Bombyx mori: one gene and its partners. The protein of the gene in region 3 purifies or fractionates together with the protein of the main gene of each other region. This does not show direct contact. Links are inferred from orthologs where the notes say so. Each region holds a gene or a part of one and is shown on either strand. Other genes may lie near its edges.

Region 1 (4,226 bases), on a different chromosome or scaffold from region 3:
TAAATCTCAACACCCAGTATATTACTATTGGGTTTATTCATTTCCTTACTTATATTTTTTCGATGACATTTTGAACATAGCACAGATATATTTACAGCACTATTTAAAAATATCTGATGTCCTATATTATTTTCATAGGTATCAAGAATAGCGGAATATAAACCCAATGACGAGCATGCTATCGCTGGTAAAGTGTGACAAACTTGTGCCTGTATGTGGTGATCCTTACTTAGGAAACATGGCATTAAAACATCTCCAATTAATCTACTTGCTGAATATGTTTTGTTTAATTGTAACAAGGGACATAGTTCAATAACCTAAAAAATATATTAAATTAAATCTTAAGTTGTAATATTTTTAAGAATCGTGAATATTTCAAATGGCACACTTACTTCACTTTTAAAATTCATTTTCTCCTTAAAAATTGTTTCTGTTAAAAAGTTTATTATTATGTTCCAGGTTTCAGTGCATTTTGTTTTCAGAATAAGTTTTATAATCAGTAAATATTTCAAAATCACAATCTTTATGCTGTTATCAAACCTTAAATCCTTTTCACTAAATTGTACATTGTTTTGTAAACACAACAATTGTAGAATCTTACTACCTTCTGTAGTTGTTAAATTCGAGTTAAGTACAACTACACTAAGTATTATATTTAGAAATATTACGAGACTTTTTTTATCATCTAATAGAACAGCTTTGTGCAATTTTATAAGCTTTAGCAGAGATTTTAATGTAGTTGTAGTATATTGTGTCTGACTTTGAAATGCAGCTCTTCTGTCGCTCTTTAGAAGTCCATTTTGTAATATACTTAAAGAAGAGAAACATCGCTCCAAATGATGGTTTATGATAAAGCTATCGGTATTTGTTTCTTCACATGATTGTAATGTTTTAACAACCATTATTAATTGATTAAAAAACCAATTCTCATTTAGATCCACTGCTTTAGTATTATTAACATGCTTTATGATATTTTTAGAGTAGTAAATAGAAACGGCATCTATTTCTTTTGCAACCATACTCTCGACGTTAATAATATCTTTAGGATAATTCAATTTGTGACTTAGTGCCAAACACTGTAGTTTTAGTTCATGGCTGAATATATCTGATCTCTTTGTCTTCAACATTACTATACAGATACTCGATACAACACTTTTATGTTCTTCATTTAAATGCTGAGCAGAATCTCTTATGAGTTCACCTATTACTTTATTTATATCTTTAATGTAGATATTGTCTATTTCACCTTGCTCATAGAAATTTTCTAAGGAGTGAACAATAGCTTCTAGACAATTTAGCACTTCTCTGAATTCGTCAGCAAAAATATATTGAAATTTGGCAATGCCAACAGTCTTATAATTCTTAACTAAATTAGAAAAAAAATTTAAAGAATTTAATTTCAGATCTACACTGAAATTTTCTAAAATATATAAACCCTGTTTGAGTACACTTTTATATTGAAAGTTGTTTATAGAGTTTTTCATAGAATTTATGGGTAAATTGTCTGATAGAAGCTGTAGTATTAAATTTATCAAATGTTTACATGTTTTCAAATTTTTTACTTTGACAAATATGGGATCCAAATTTATTTGCACAAATGGGATTTCCACTTTTTCTGGAGCAAAGTGTGGTAATGTTATTTCTATATTGCTATTTAAATATGAATCTTCATAATATTTTACAAGTGTATTTAATGCCGATATGTATTCTGATTGGATCGTACTGTAAAATGATGCATTACCAATACATAATATGTTCAATATTTTTAACTGAGCATCTTTACTTGCTGTGTGTATTCTGTAAAAAGAAACCATTACTGCAAGGCACAATCCTATCTTGCTATCACTAAAGCTGTGACTCAAGCTAAATTGAGCAATAACCACTACAACATAATATCCATCCATATAATTTATCAACATCTTAATTTCGAACACAATTTTCCCTTTAGATCCTGAATGGAGAACTAGCAATAAGACATGTCGAAAGTCCCATTACAGCACAGAAGTGGTTACTTTTGCTTTTGAATAAAGGTTACAATGGGTGCACAGCTAATCAATCTACTGTCTAGCACTTAGAACACCTTTCAAACCTTGGGGCCGTGAGATTGCTGAGGGTGACTAAACTGTGGATAAGGTTTAATTTTTTTTAATGAAAATCACTAAATTTAAATATTTTACGAAATGCACAAACCTAAGAAGGTATTCCTCTGACCAAATGTAAAATAGCCTTCCAATTAACCATGTATTAAATGCACTATAGTAGACTTCAGGGTATTTTTCGTAACCAACTCTTGGAACTAAATCCTCTGAAAAATCTCTGTAGAACAAATTGATATTGCAATTAATCTTTAGGCAAATAATCAGCTTAAATATAGCGTGTTTGTTCAAATAACAAAAACTTAATAGTTTACCCAGAAAATTTTAAAATTGATGTTATTAATCGGTCCAGCCCATCTACAGCATGTTCTAGATTATTAAATAAAACCACAGTAGGTTCATTAAGCTTTTGCCACACTGTGAATGGTCCATCCTGGTAGTCATCTTCCATTTCTATTTTAATAACCTTTTTGGAACGATATCCTAAATTAGTTTGTAATAACTTAATCTCCGCAATTCACGCGGAATTCCTATTCGTTTTCTAGTTTGTTGATAATCTCTGTTTGAAGTTTTTAATAAAAACTGCACTTCCAAGTTTGTTATATACACAGGTTTGAAAATATTTCAAAATATTTCAAACGTACACCTTTTTTATGAGATTTTGTGACCTGGTAACTAAGACCTTTAGATCAAGTATTATTTTAACTCAAACCTTTACAAAGTTCTTTTCTGCTTAATATAGGTGTATTCACTATACAGACTCCAAAATAAGTGTATTGTCTATTACGGATGTAACTGACGGACAGACTTGAATGGGGATCTCAAATCACTTATTCAGATTCCATTTTATGATACAACTAATATTGAAGTGAAAACTTCTTTAGAATCGGTTTGATTTCAAACCGGATGCAACGGAAAAAACGACAGGTAAGAGACACAAATACAAAAATGTGTAGGATGAAGCCAGCAAAGAATGAGACAGAAATATACATACTATTTAATACAGCGCCATCTGTGAGATTTTTTAATACTAACGTGTGTATGAAAGCTCTTGTAGTGAATTTTAATTTAGGATTATACGTGAAATTAACATATTAATTCACAGAGAGCGCTACCTTACAATTATTTACTAATGACAAAATTTTACATATACTTAAGACGTTTAGGATAATTGTATTTTAATTTTGGAAGGTTTCACTTCTACCACGTGTGAATTGCACATATTTTGTTTTTTTAATGAATCGAAAATATATGTAACGAATATCTGTTTCAGATAGAACGCACCCATAAATAAATTACTAATAATTTAAATTCAGTCAATCAATTGTGAAATACTTAATTAACGAATGGTTGAACACATCTAAACACAAAATTTTAAATATTGTTTAAACTAATTAAATCACTGGACATCAGTAATGCTAGAGACATGCTAACTTGCTACCTGCTGCTGTGAAGTCTTTTTATGCACGATTTAAAAAAGATTTATCACAGAACTTGATTAATACTGAAGCGGGACGCTTATCCAGATCGCAGATCCAGACGTTACAAAATTGATCTCTGAAAATCTACTATGAATTAGTGATTCCAGATATAATTTATGCACTCTACTCCAACAACGGTATTTTATCAAAATATAGGCAGCACCAATAACAATCTTTAAAACAGGCGAGCCGTATGCTCACCTGCGTACTAAGATTATGTTAGTAGTTACAATTCCTACAAGTCATTATTTTTAAATCTGTAAAAAAATCGTATAATTATACATTTTTCAATTCAAGTTGAACAGCAACACGTAATCATTATCATTTTTATCATATTTGAGTCGTCTATTATCAAAGGTGGCAATCTGTGTATTTGGACAAAAAAATGTTATTGATATGGCGATACAGATTGATTTGAATATAATCGTCTCCTTCAAAGAATACGATTCAAAACCTGCGTTAAATAAAGGTTAATACTTAACCTGTTATTTATCTAAGATGTCGTTCAGAAGAGTTTTATGACTGCCAATGGAATACAAAGTCAATAATTCGTTTTTCTGATTTACCAATAATTGTCCAAAAGTCACATTGCCGGCTTTGATAATAGTCGACTCATTTAATGTAGCTGATCATTTCGTTCTCTATGACC
Region 2 (4,160 bases), on a different chromosome or scaffold from region 3:
AAAGTCGTGCTGCCGTTTTGCACTACTTGCCCATTTATTGTTTGCTGCGGCACCGCAGCAGATCCAGAAGCAGGAAACATCGTCATTGTGTAAACAATAACGCTCGCCTAATCCCCAGGTGATGTTTATCAAGCGCATATGTGCACATAATATTGATGAAATGTCAGTGTTCTTGTAATTTTATGTAGCTTTTATTGATTATATTCCACTTAGAAACAGGTCATTTATTTTGACAGTATTCAAAACAAGTTCTAATAGCCAACGAACGATAATAATACATACTTTTCTTCGATCTGCCAACCAAAATAACATACGTTCACAGCTACAAGGTCGCTAATTTTAACATTTTAAGAGTTAAAAACAAACATGTCCGTCAGAAACACCTACAAACACTGTCACTGAATATTAAAGTCATACTCAATTATGCTTGTAAGTAAGTTTGTTAACATTTTAAGATCGAAAAACAATCCGAATGGGAACAAAATAAACGACACTGAACACAATTTGCGAACTTTTGTTCATTTTTGCTTCAACTTCTAGATCATAGACGTCGTAGTCATACAGATTAAAAATAAATAAAATTAATGAAATGTAGAGGGAAGATTTCGCGTTTTTTTTGCGTGGATGGATCAACGAGCTCATGTCCCACGCGAGGAGTGAAATTATGTGAACTGTTTCATTAATTTAGTGTTTCTTCAGTAATGGTGATTTACTGAAGAAGTAGTGAATCGTATCTGTAGGGGAGTATAAGAAGTGTCTACTCGGAGTTTTCTAAAAAATTCTCTGAAATCTCAATAAAAAACAACCATTTTACTGAGACTTCCACTCCATCTCTTCACGTTTGATTTCATTTCATCCCAATTGATTAAAATCTCAAATAAATCAACTTGACCTCACGTTTCCCGTATAATGTATCGTTTCATATAATTTTTTATTTAGCAGAAAATTTAAAGAAAAAGCATTTTGGTATGATGTCCTCCCCTTTCTTGTTGAAAAATGAAATTATTGCAACCTAATACCCTATCGCGAAAAGGAAAATCTATGTCAAACTTATAACACTTAATTCTTAATATCACGGGATATCAAAAAGATAGATGCCTTTGAAATGTGGGTATGGCGGAGGATGCTACGAATACCGTGGACTGCCATGAGAACAAACGAGTCCATTTTAAGGCAGCTAAACATCCGAAAAAAGCTCTCTTCCATCTGCCGGAAACGTATTATGAGCTTCTTCGGACCCATCATGCGGTCTCCCAGACATGAACAAGTGATTATATACTCTTTGGTATTTTCTATGATCTATGTGGCATAGATATCTTTATTAGAGGTACGTATGGAGGTACGGTACACTTGACAATTGACGCATAATATTTGATAAATTGTGGGATGTTTATTTCAAATATGTTTGTTTATTAATTTAAGTGATTATAATTAAACACTAATTTAAACATAGGTTAAACAGATATGTAGTTTAAATTTAATATTACGGGGATATAAATTTTACTGTAACATTCCCAGAATATTCAGAGTAATTTTCTCTGCTGCAGGCATACACATTTATAGGTTCAATATCAAGATTCTATCTCTCTGTTATGAAAATAATATAACGTTTATAAAAAATATGTTACAATGCCTTGAAAAGCTAAATAGCAGATTGAATAGAACACTTTGTTTTTTAGTAAACAAACAGATATTTGTAAACAAATATTCTACTATGAAATATTTAAATGTAGCAGAGAAAAATGATGCAGCTAAAAATATTGCATCACATCTATCCAAAGGAACATCAACTGGGGTATGTGTGCACTTCGTGCTATCTTTTGGTTGCTCTTGCTAAGCTGTCGTACTCACAAATTATGTGCTATATATTATTTACCACTCCTAAGGAGACTTGACAGGCTGCCGGTTGCCATCGGCCAGGTTTATCTTTTATAGATGATCCCTAGAAGTGAAATAATCTGTAAGGGACCCAACCAAAAATCTGAACTGATTTCTACAAACCTATGGACTATTTTGTCTATTTTAGTTTCCCTGTTTGTCATCCCTAGGCTATACCGTAGGCTAAATCCTTTCGTTTTTTTTTAGCGTAAAGGACTATCAAAGTACAACAAAATATATCAATTTAAAGCCAACGTAATGGGGCAAGATTGTGAAATGGTGATGACCTCAGTATCAGGACATCTCTTAGCCCTAGAATTTAGTGGAACATACAGAACCTGGCAAACCTGTAGCCCACTATCACTGTTTGATGCACCTGTTTTCAAATACTGCCCAGAGAATTACCAAAAAATTAAGGTGAGCTTTGTCTTCCTAAAGTAATGTTTTCAATTACAGTAAAAGCTCTTTATTTGCGGGGTATTTATTATGTAAATACGCTGCAAATACAGAAACCGTGAATATGGAAAAGCATATTTAAAAAGGACATTCACTTGTATACCTACCTTATGGAATCCCTTTTATCAATGTGTATGTACAGATGTACTAATTAGATCTGCAAAAGGAGAAGTCTTTAGCTGCAAATGTAGGAACCGTGTTTTATTAATTTTATTAATCCGCAACTAGTGAATATGCAAATAAGCAAGCACAAAATTAAATGAGGAGTTTTTACTGTACTTACTTGTATATTATTTACATCTAAAAGGCAAAGAAAAAACAAATAACTACATTTTCTCCTGAGTTTGTCAGCTGTTTTTATTTTATTTAGCTTAGTAACTACTGATGAGTATTAGTATTATGAATATTATTTTGAAAAAATCTGTAACACAACAGAAAATGTATCTTGAAGTGTTAGTGATTGATTGCCTTAATGGTGCAGTAGCTAGTAGCCCTGATGGCTGGGCGGAGGGTCAATGGTTCAATTTCCACACGAGGCAAACATTTGTAACATGATTAATATTATCTCTATATTTAAACATACATATGAGTCGTCTATTATCAAAGGTGGCAATCTGTGCATTTGGAAAAAAAAATGTTATTGATATGTCAATACAGATTGATTTGAATATTGTCTCCTTCAAAGAATACGGTTCAAAACCCGCATTAAATAAAGGTTAATAGTTAACCTGTTATTTATCTAAGATGTCGTTCCGAAGAGTTTCGTGACTGCCAATGGAATACAAAGTCAATAATTCTTTTTTCTGATTTACCAATAATTATCCAAAAGTCAGATTGCCGGCTTTGATAATAGTCGACTCATATATAAGTATGTATATTAGCCTTCTGTCCATACTACAGGCAATCCTAGTATGGGACCAGATGACTATTTTTGTTCTCAGTTATTTTATGTTTATAATTGAATAAAAACTAGTGAAGACAAGCACAATATCATAGCTAAAGGCGACCTCGGAGCAAGTATACATCTGATGCACTTCAGACAAGCTCAAATATCTGATTTGATTGATACTTAGGGCACAAAGGGGTTTCATTTAATTAAGTGTAGCTTTGAGGTGCTTCCCTCATATATGTCTATTAATAATCAATAGTTCAAGATTTTTTACTGGTGGTAGGACCTCTTGTGAGTCCGCGCGGGTAGGTACCACCACCCTGCCTATTTCTGCCGTGAAGCAGTAATGCGTTTCGGTTTGAAGGGTGGGGCAGCCGTTGTAACTATACTGAGATCTTAGAACTTATATCTCAAGATGGGTAGCGCATTTACGTTGTAGATGTCTATGGGCTCCAGCAACCACTTTACACCAGGTGGGCTGTGAGTTCGTCCAAACATCTAAGCAATAAAAAATAAAAAAGATATTTGATTTAAAATTATTCAGTTTCTTATAAATATAGAATAGTTCAACAATATACTGATGTTTAACATTTTCTAATGGAACGATCAATTCTAGCAACAATAATATTTGACTATCACTTCACAGATGACCTTAGAGCGAGAAGTTCGAAGCTGTCAAGGCCTCATAATATGGACGGATTGTGACAGAGAAGGAGAGAACATAGGTTTTGAGATTATTGATGTTTGTAAAGCTGCCAGGACAAATTTGAAAATATATAGAGCAAAATTTTCAGAGATCACATTAGTTTCAGTAAATAGAGCTTTACAAAACTTAGAAGAACCAAACAAGAATACTAGTAATGCAGTAGATGTCAGACAAGAACTTGATTTAAGGATAGGTAGGCATATAAAATATGTTTAATTATTAGACTTAGGA
Region 3 (4,290 bases):
TAGAAGATAGATTTAATCTTTTTGTATGTGTGTTTGTCACTAAACTCCTAAGAAAAGGGGCTGATTGTGATGATTTATTTAAAATCTAACTGCTTTATTTTTTTCCTTTCAACTCTATTTTTAAGTTATCATTTACTATCAGTTATCAGTTATAATTTATTGGGGTAAAAATGTTTGAATTAAAATTTAGTATGTTGATTAAAAAATACATACTCAAATTCAACTTTTGTCATTCGATCTTTCAGTGAGGCATACATATCTTGTTTACTAATTCCTTGTTCAACAGTAGAGCCACGGATAAGGTTGAAGACCATCATCTGACGAGAATTTAAGCCATTCACTGAAGAGGTTTCAGTAATTCCAACCATTGAATTTGCAGGCAGCATGTTGTTAATTGGGACATCTTGAATATTTTTTTCCTGCAAAATAAAATCCAATTTATGAAGTAATGTATAGCAAAAAACATGTAGGCGGAAGCACCATTCATGATGGGACATAATAATCCACAGCAATGATGCAACTCAAATGCACTAGCAAGAGCTGAATGATAACTAAATTTGTAGTTCTGTCTTTATCAGAATAAAGGGTTCAAGTTTGAAAATAGTAGATTATTATTTTAAAATAAAACTGAAAAAAAGGAGAAGCATGTTGGATGTGCTGAAATTCATTTTATATGAAAATTGAAATGGTAAGTCATTGCTGATGAAGAAGACATCATTTACATTGCTGAAGAATCAATAACAAATAATACTATACTATGACATATTTTTATGTACTGTACTGTAATAAAAATATCTGACAATTATTATCAACTCTTTTTGTTACATACAAGAACTAAATATTTCAAATACAAAATTCATGTGTATTAAGCTAAATGTTGCTTAAACCAAATAGTCTTTAACCCCTCAAAATATTGTGTTATAAGTAGTTACTTCTGCCTTTAGCTATGGTGAATGGAAATGCGAATAATAAATTTTAAGATTACCAGGTATATTAGAATTACCTTCTTTGAGCCAGCTTCCATTTGTATTTTATTATGAATGCACTGAAAGTAGTGAAATGTAATAATGTTGACATCAGTAACTGGCATTATCTTAAATGCCATGAGCACTTTTGTCCCTTTATTCGTTTTCACATTGCCGTAAATTTGTATGTAATCATTTACTTGAACTTTAGGTGATGAGGTATCCTGAAATTGAAGCTCAGAAAGATTTAATATCTGTTTTTTTTTATGTAAAATACTCAATATCTAAAGAATCAAAATGGCATATACTTAAATATTCAAAAAGCACAGAATAAGTTTAATAACTTAATCTGACTTTGAGATTTTTTTATTTTTTTTATTACCATGATTGTGGACATGATTAATGGATTAACTCATTTTAATTAATGATTTCGTTTACATTGACATTACTCTGAAACTGGAAGTAACTTTCACTTACTTCAACTTCCATAGCCTCTTGGTCGAGCCAGAGTACAGCCCTCATCCTCCCTGTTATATCTTGGATTGTATATGTTATTTTAGTGCTTTGCATTCTAATGCTCCTGATTCTTGCAACTATTGACACTATTTGAATTTCTGTACCCCATATTTTCACACCTTCTTCTCCAGAATGCAAAGCTTGCCTGATGACTATAGGTGCTGTCCGTGCCGCTCTACGACCCTGTGAATAAATGTATTATTAATATATTAAATTTTCGTAATCAATTGAATTTTATTTTTTTGTAAACTTACAGTTTTTTTGGGTGTTGCCGTATTTCCAAATTGATTTGTGGTGTTAAGGAAGCCACCTCCAGAAGGATCATCTGAATGTAACAAATTCTAATTAATACAGAAAAAACTATAAAGATAACCATGTAAATGATAAAACAACAAACCATTCCACATTGTTTTAAAGTAGAGGTCAAAATTGTTAGTTGAAGACTATTCTAGTAACAGCAGTAGTACAATGCACTAAACAATTCCGAACCGATCTTAATAGAAAAGGTAGTATGGTTTAATTTTTTTAGTTTTGATTCTTATTCCTGTAAACTTTTTTCAAGCGAGTAAGCCACTATAGTCGGATTTTTAATTAGACGAAGCTAGCTGACAGTAGCTAATGTCACTTTGTGAAATAATGTTGCTATATTTAAAGTAATAGTGATGCGTTCAGTTCTCGTTCAATCACGAATGAACAATGAGTGTGAAGAGTTAATCATTAATTTCAAACTATAAAAGAGTACTATTTATATTTTACAATAAAATTGTATTAAAGTGCTCCAATATATGTTGCTAGTAGTATGTAACTACAATCAGCTTTTTTATTTTCATTACTTACCTATAATTGTTATATTTTATACATCTATAATTTCAACTATATGATGTATTGGAAATAGGACAGTCTTACAAGTACTTCCTCGCAATGTTTTTCTTAATGTTTAAAACACTCGGTATTCAGTACAGGTAGATATTATAGGAACATAATATTTCGTCGAAAACTCGTTGGTATGTACAAAGCACGCCTAAAATTCGAACCCCGTACCCGATATCGGCAATTCGGCACACCAACTGTTCACTAGACAATCGAGGCAATTTCATTAATTCAGGAGTTTTTTCAATCGTTCACTTTGTCACAACACTATTTTTATTTCATCAAAAACTGACAACACAGTAAACGTCAGTTGACTTCGTCTAATAAAAAATCCGACTATAGGTTCACATATTTTATCTTCCAAAAGATGATGATTTATTTTGTTTCAGTAACTTTTAACAGTTTTAACCAAAATGTCCCTTTGGAGTTTGGCCAGACAGAAGTCTCAATTAATTCCCGCCATTTTATAGATTTTTTTGAATTTGTTTAGTGGATAGGCGAAGGGAATCTAGCCGAGAATATAATAAATATTAAATATTCTTTAATTCACTATCTAACATATTCAATTACAAGTAACATTACAAGTACAAGTGATATTGTCTGAGAGTGTAAAGGCGCCATATGTGCCGCTCCCTGTATCTGGCCTCCAGTCACCTCCTTGAGTTGGTCCACCCATCTAGCTGGCGCTCTTCCTCTAGCGCGCTTTCCCTCTATTTGTCCGAGAATTATGAGTTTCTCCAGGCTGTGCAATGAGGATCGCATTATGTGCCCAAAAAAACTCCGGATCCATTCCTGGCACATAGTCAGCAGGCGCTTGGTGACCTTCAGCTCTTCGAGGATGGAGACATTGGTTCTCATAGCTGTCCAAGGAATGCGTAGCAGCTTTCTCCAGCAATACATTTCAAAGGCCTCGATCTTTTTGCGTTCCTTTTTCCTGAGACACCAAGTCTCCACCCCATACAGGAAGATAGAGAAGACCAACGTACGAACCAAACGCATCTTAGTTACTCGGCGAATATTACGGTCTTTCCAGATTTTATTGAGGCTAGTCATGGCACTTTTAGCCATCCCGATACGGCGTCCGATTTCTTTCTCGCAGTTACCACTGTTAGAGATCAGCGACCCCAAGTATATAAATTCCTCCACTTTCTCATAATCCTTGAGCGCATTTGATGGACTTAAAACTTGAGCTCTGTCCACCGTCATCGCTTTGGTCTTAGAGCGGTTTATGTGCAGGCCAAATTCAAGGCTAACTCTCTCTATTCGCTCCAAGATCGCAGCCATCTCGGACTCGCTGGCTGCAAGGATTGTTGTATCATCGGCATATCTTAGATAAGATACACCACTATTTTAACTAATGTCCCTAAGAATAATATCCACTGACCTTACTTACTTTCTATTAAGGCCAAAGGCTTTGTTTGGCTTTGTTAATGAGTTCTGCAGATGATAAAATGAGAATCATAAAAATATGGATTAAAACAAGATATTTAGACATTACCCAGCCATTACCATTATTATTATAATTTAAATAGGTGGCACTATAATTCATTTAAGACTCTCTAAGATGAACATTGAAAAATACCAAATTATGATTAAGATTTATTGAGTGGCAAATAAACTTAGGGCTCACCTGCCGGTCATCGTTCTCCGTCGAATCCGCTGCTTGCGCACTGCTCTTGCCAGGGTTAGTGTTAGCAACGTCATTATGTTTGAGCCCCGTGAGCTCACCTACTTGTTAGGGTTATGCTGAAATAGCCTCTCAAGACTATCAGCTTAGGTAGGAAAAAAAGCCTCACCTGAAAGTTTTTTTTAACATTTTTTTTATTGCGTATTTGGGTGGACGAGCTCATAGCCCACCTAGTGTTTAGTGGTTACCGGAGCCTATAGACTTTTATAACGTAAATGCCGCCACCCAACTTTAGTTAAGAGTTCTAAGGTC

What was found.
Region 1: the proteins of Rpa2 (region 3) and serine/threonine-protein kinase ATR purify together in Homo sapiens (affinity purification with western blotting; 3 studies listed by BioGRID, with this or other methods). This does not show direct contact. The link is inferred for Bombyx mori from reciprocal best matches to the Homo sapiens genes RPA2 and ATR.
Region 2: the proteins of Rpa2 (region 3) and DNA topoisomerase 3-alpha purify together in Homo sapiens (affinity purification with mass spectrometry; 4 studies listed by BioGRID and IntAct, with this or other methods). This does not show direct contact. The link is inferred for Bombyx mori from reciprocal best matches to the Homo sapiens genes RPA2 and TOP3A.

What each region holds. Positions count from the first base shown.
Region 1 is NC_085123.1:9,983,760-9,987,985, forward strand, and holds the start of serine/threonine-protein kinase ATR, read right to left. Parts: upstream 2,840-4,226; 5' UTR 2,548-2,839; coding exon 2,411-2,547; intron 2,317-2,410; coding exon 2,191-2,316; intron 1,798-2,190; coding exon 393-1,797; intron 318-392; coding exon 1-317. UniProt on the Homo sapiens protein: Serine/threonine protein kinase which activates checkpoint signaling upon genotoxic stresses such as ionizing radiation (IR), ultraviolet light (UV), or DNA replication stalling, thereby acting as a DNA damage sensor.
Region 2 is NC_085123.1:10,687,918-10,692,077, forward strand, and holds the start of DNA topoisomerase 3-alpha, read left to right. Parts: upstream 1-1,321; 5' UTR 1,322-1,621; coding exon 1,622-1,795; intron 1,796-2,085; coding exon 2,086-2,295; intron 2,296-3,869; coding exon 3,870-4,122; intron 4,123-4,160. Other genes in the region: ras-related protein Rab-40C, read right to left, coding at 1-86. UniProt on the Homo sapiens protein: Releases the supercoiling and torsional tension of DNA introduced during the DNA replication and transcription by transiently cleaving and rejoining one strand of the DNA duplex.
Region 3 is NC_085114.1:7,172,509-7,176,798, reverse strand, and holds the start of Rpa2 (replication protein A2), read right to left. Parts: upstream 2,828-4,290; 5' UTR 2,692-2,827; intron 2,057-2,691; 5' UTR 1,889-2,056; coding exon 1,879-1,888; intron 1,807-1,878; coding exon 1,736-1,806; intron 1,665-1,735; coding exon 1,443-1,664; intron 1,190-1,442; coding exon 1,004-1,189; intron 420-1,003; coding exon 214-419; intron 1-213. UniProt on the Homo sapiens protein: As part of the heterotrimeric replication protein A complex (RPA/RP-A), binds and stabilizes single-stranded DNA intermediates that form during DNA replication or upon DNA stress.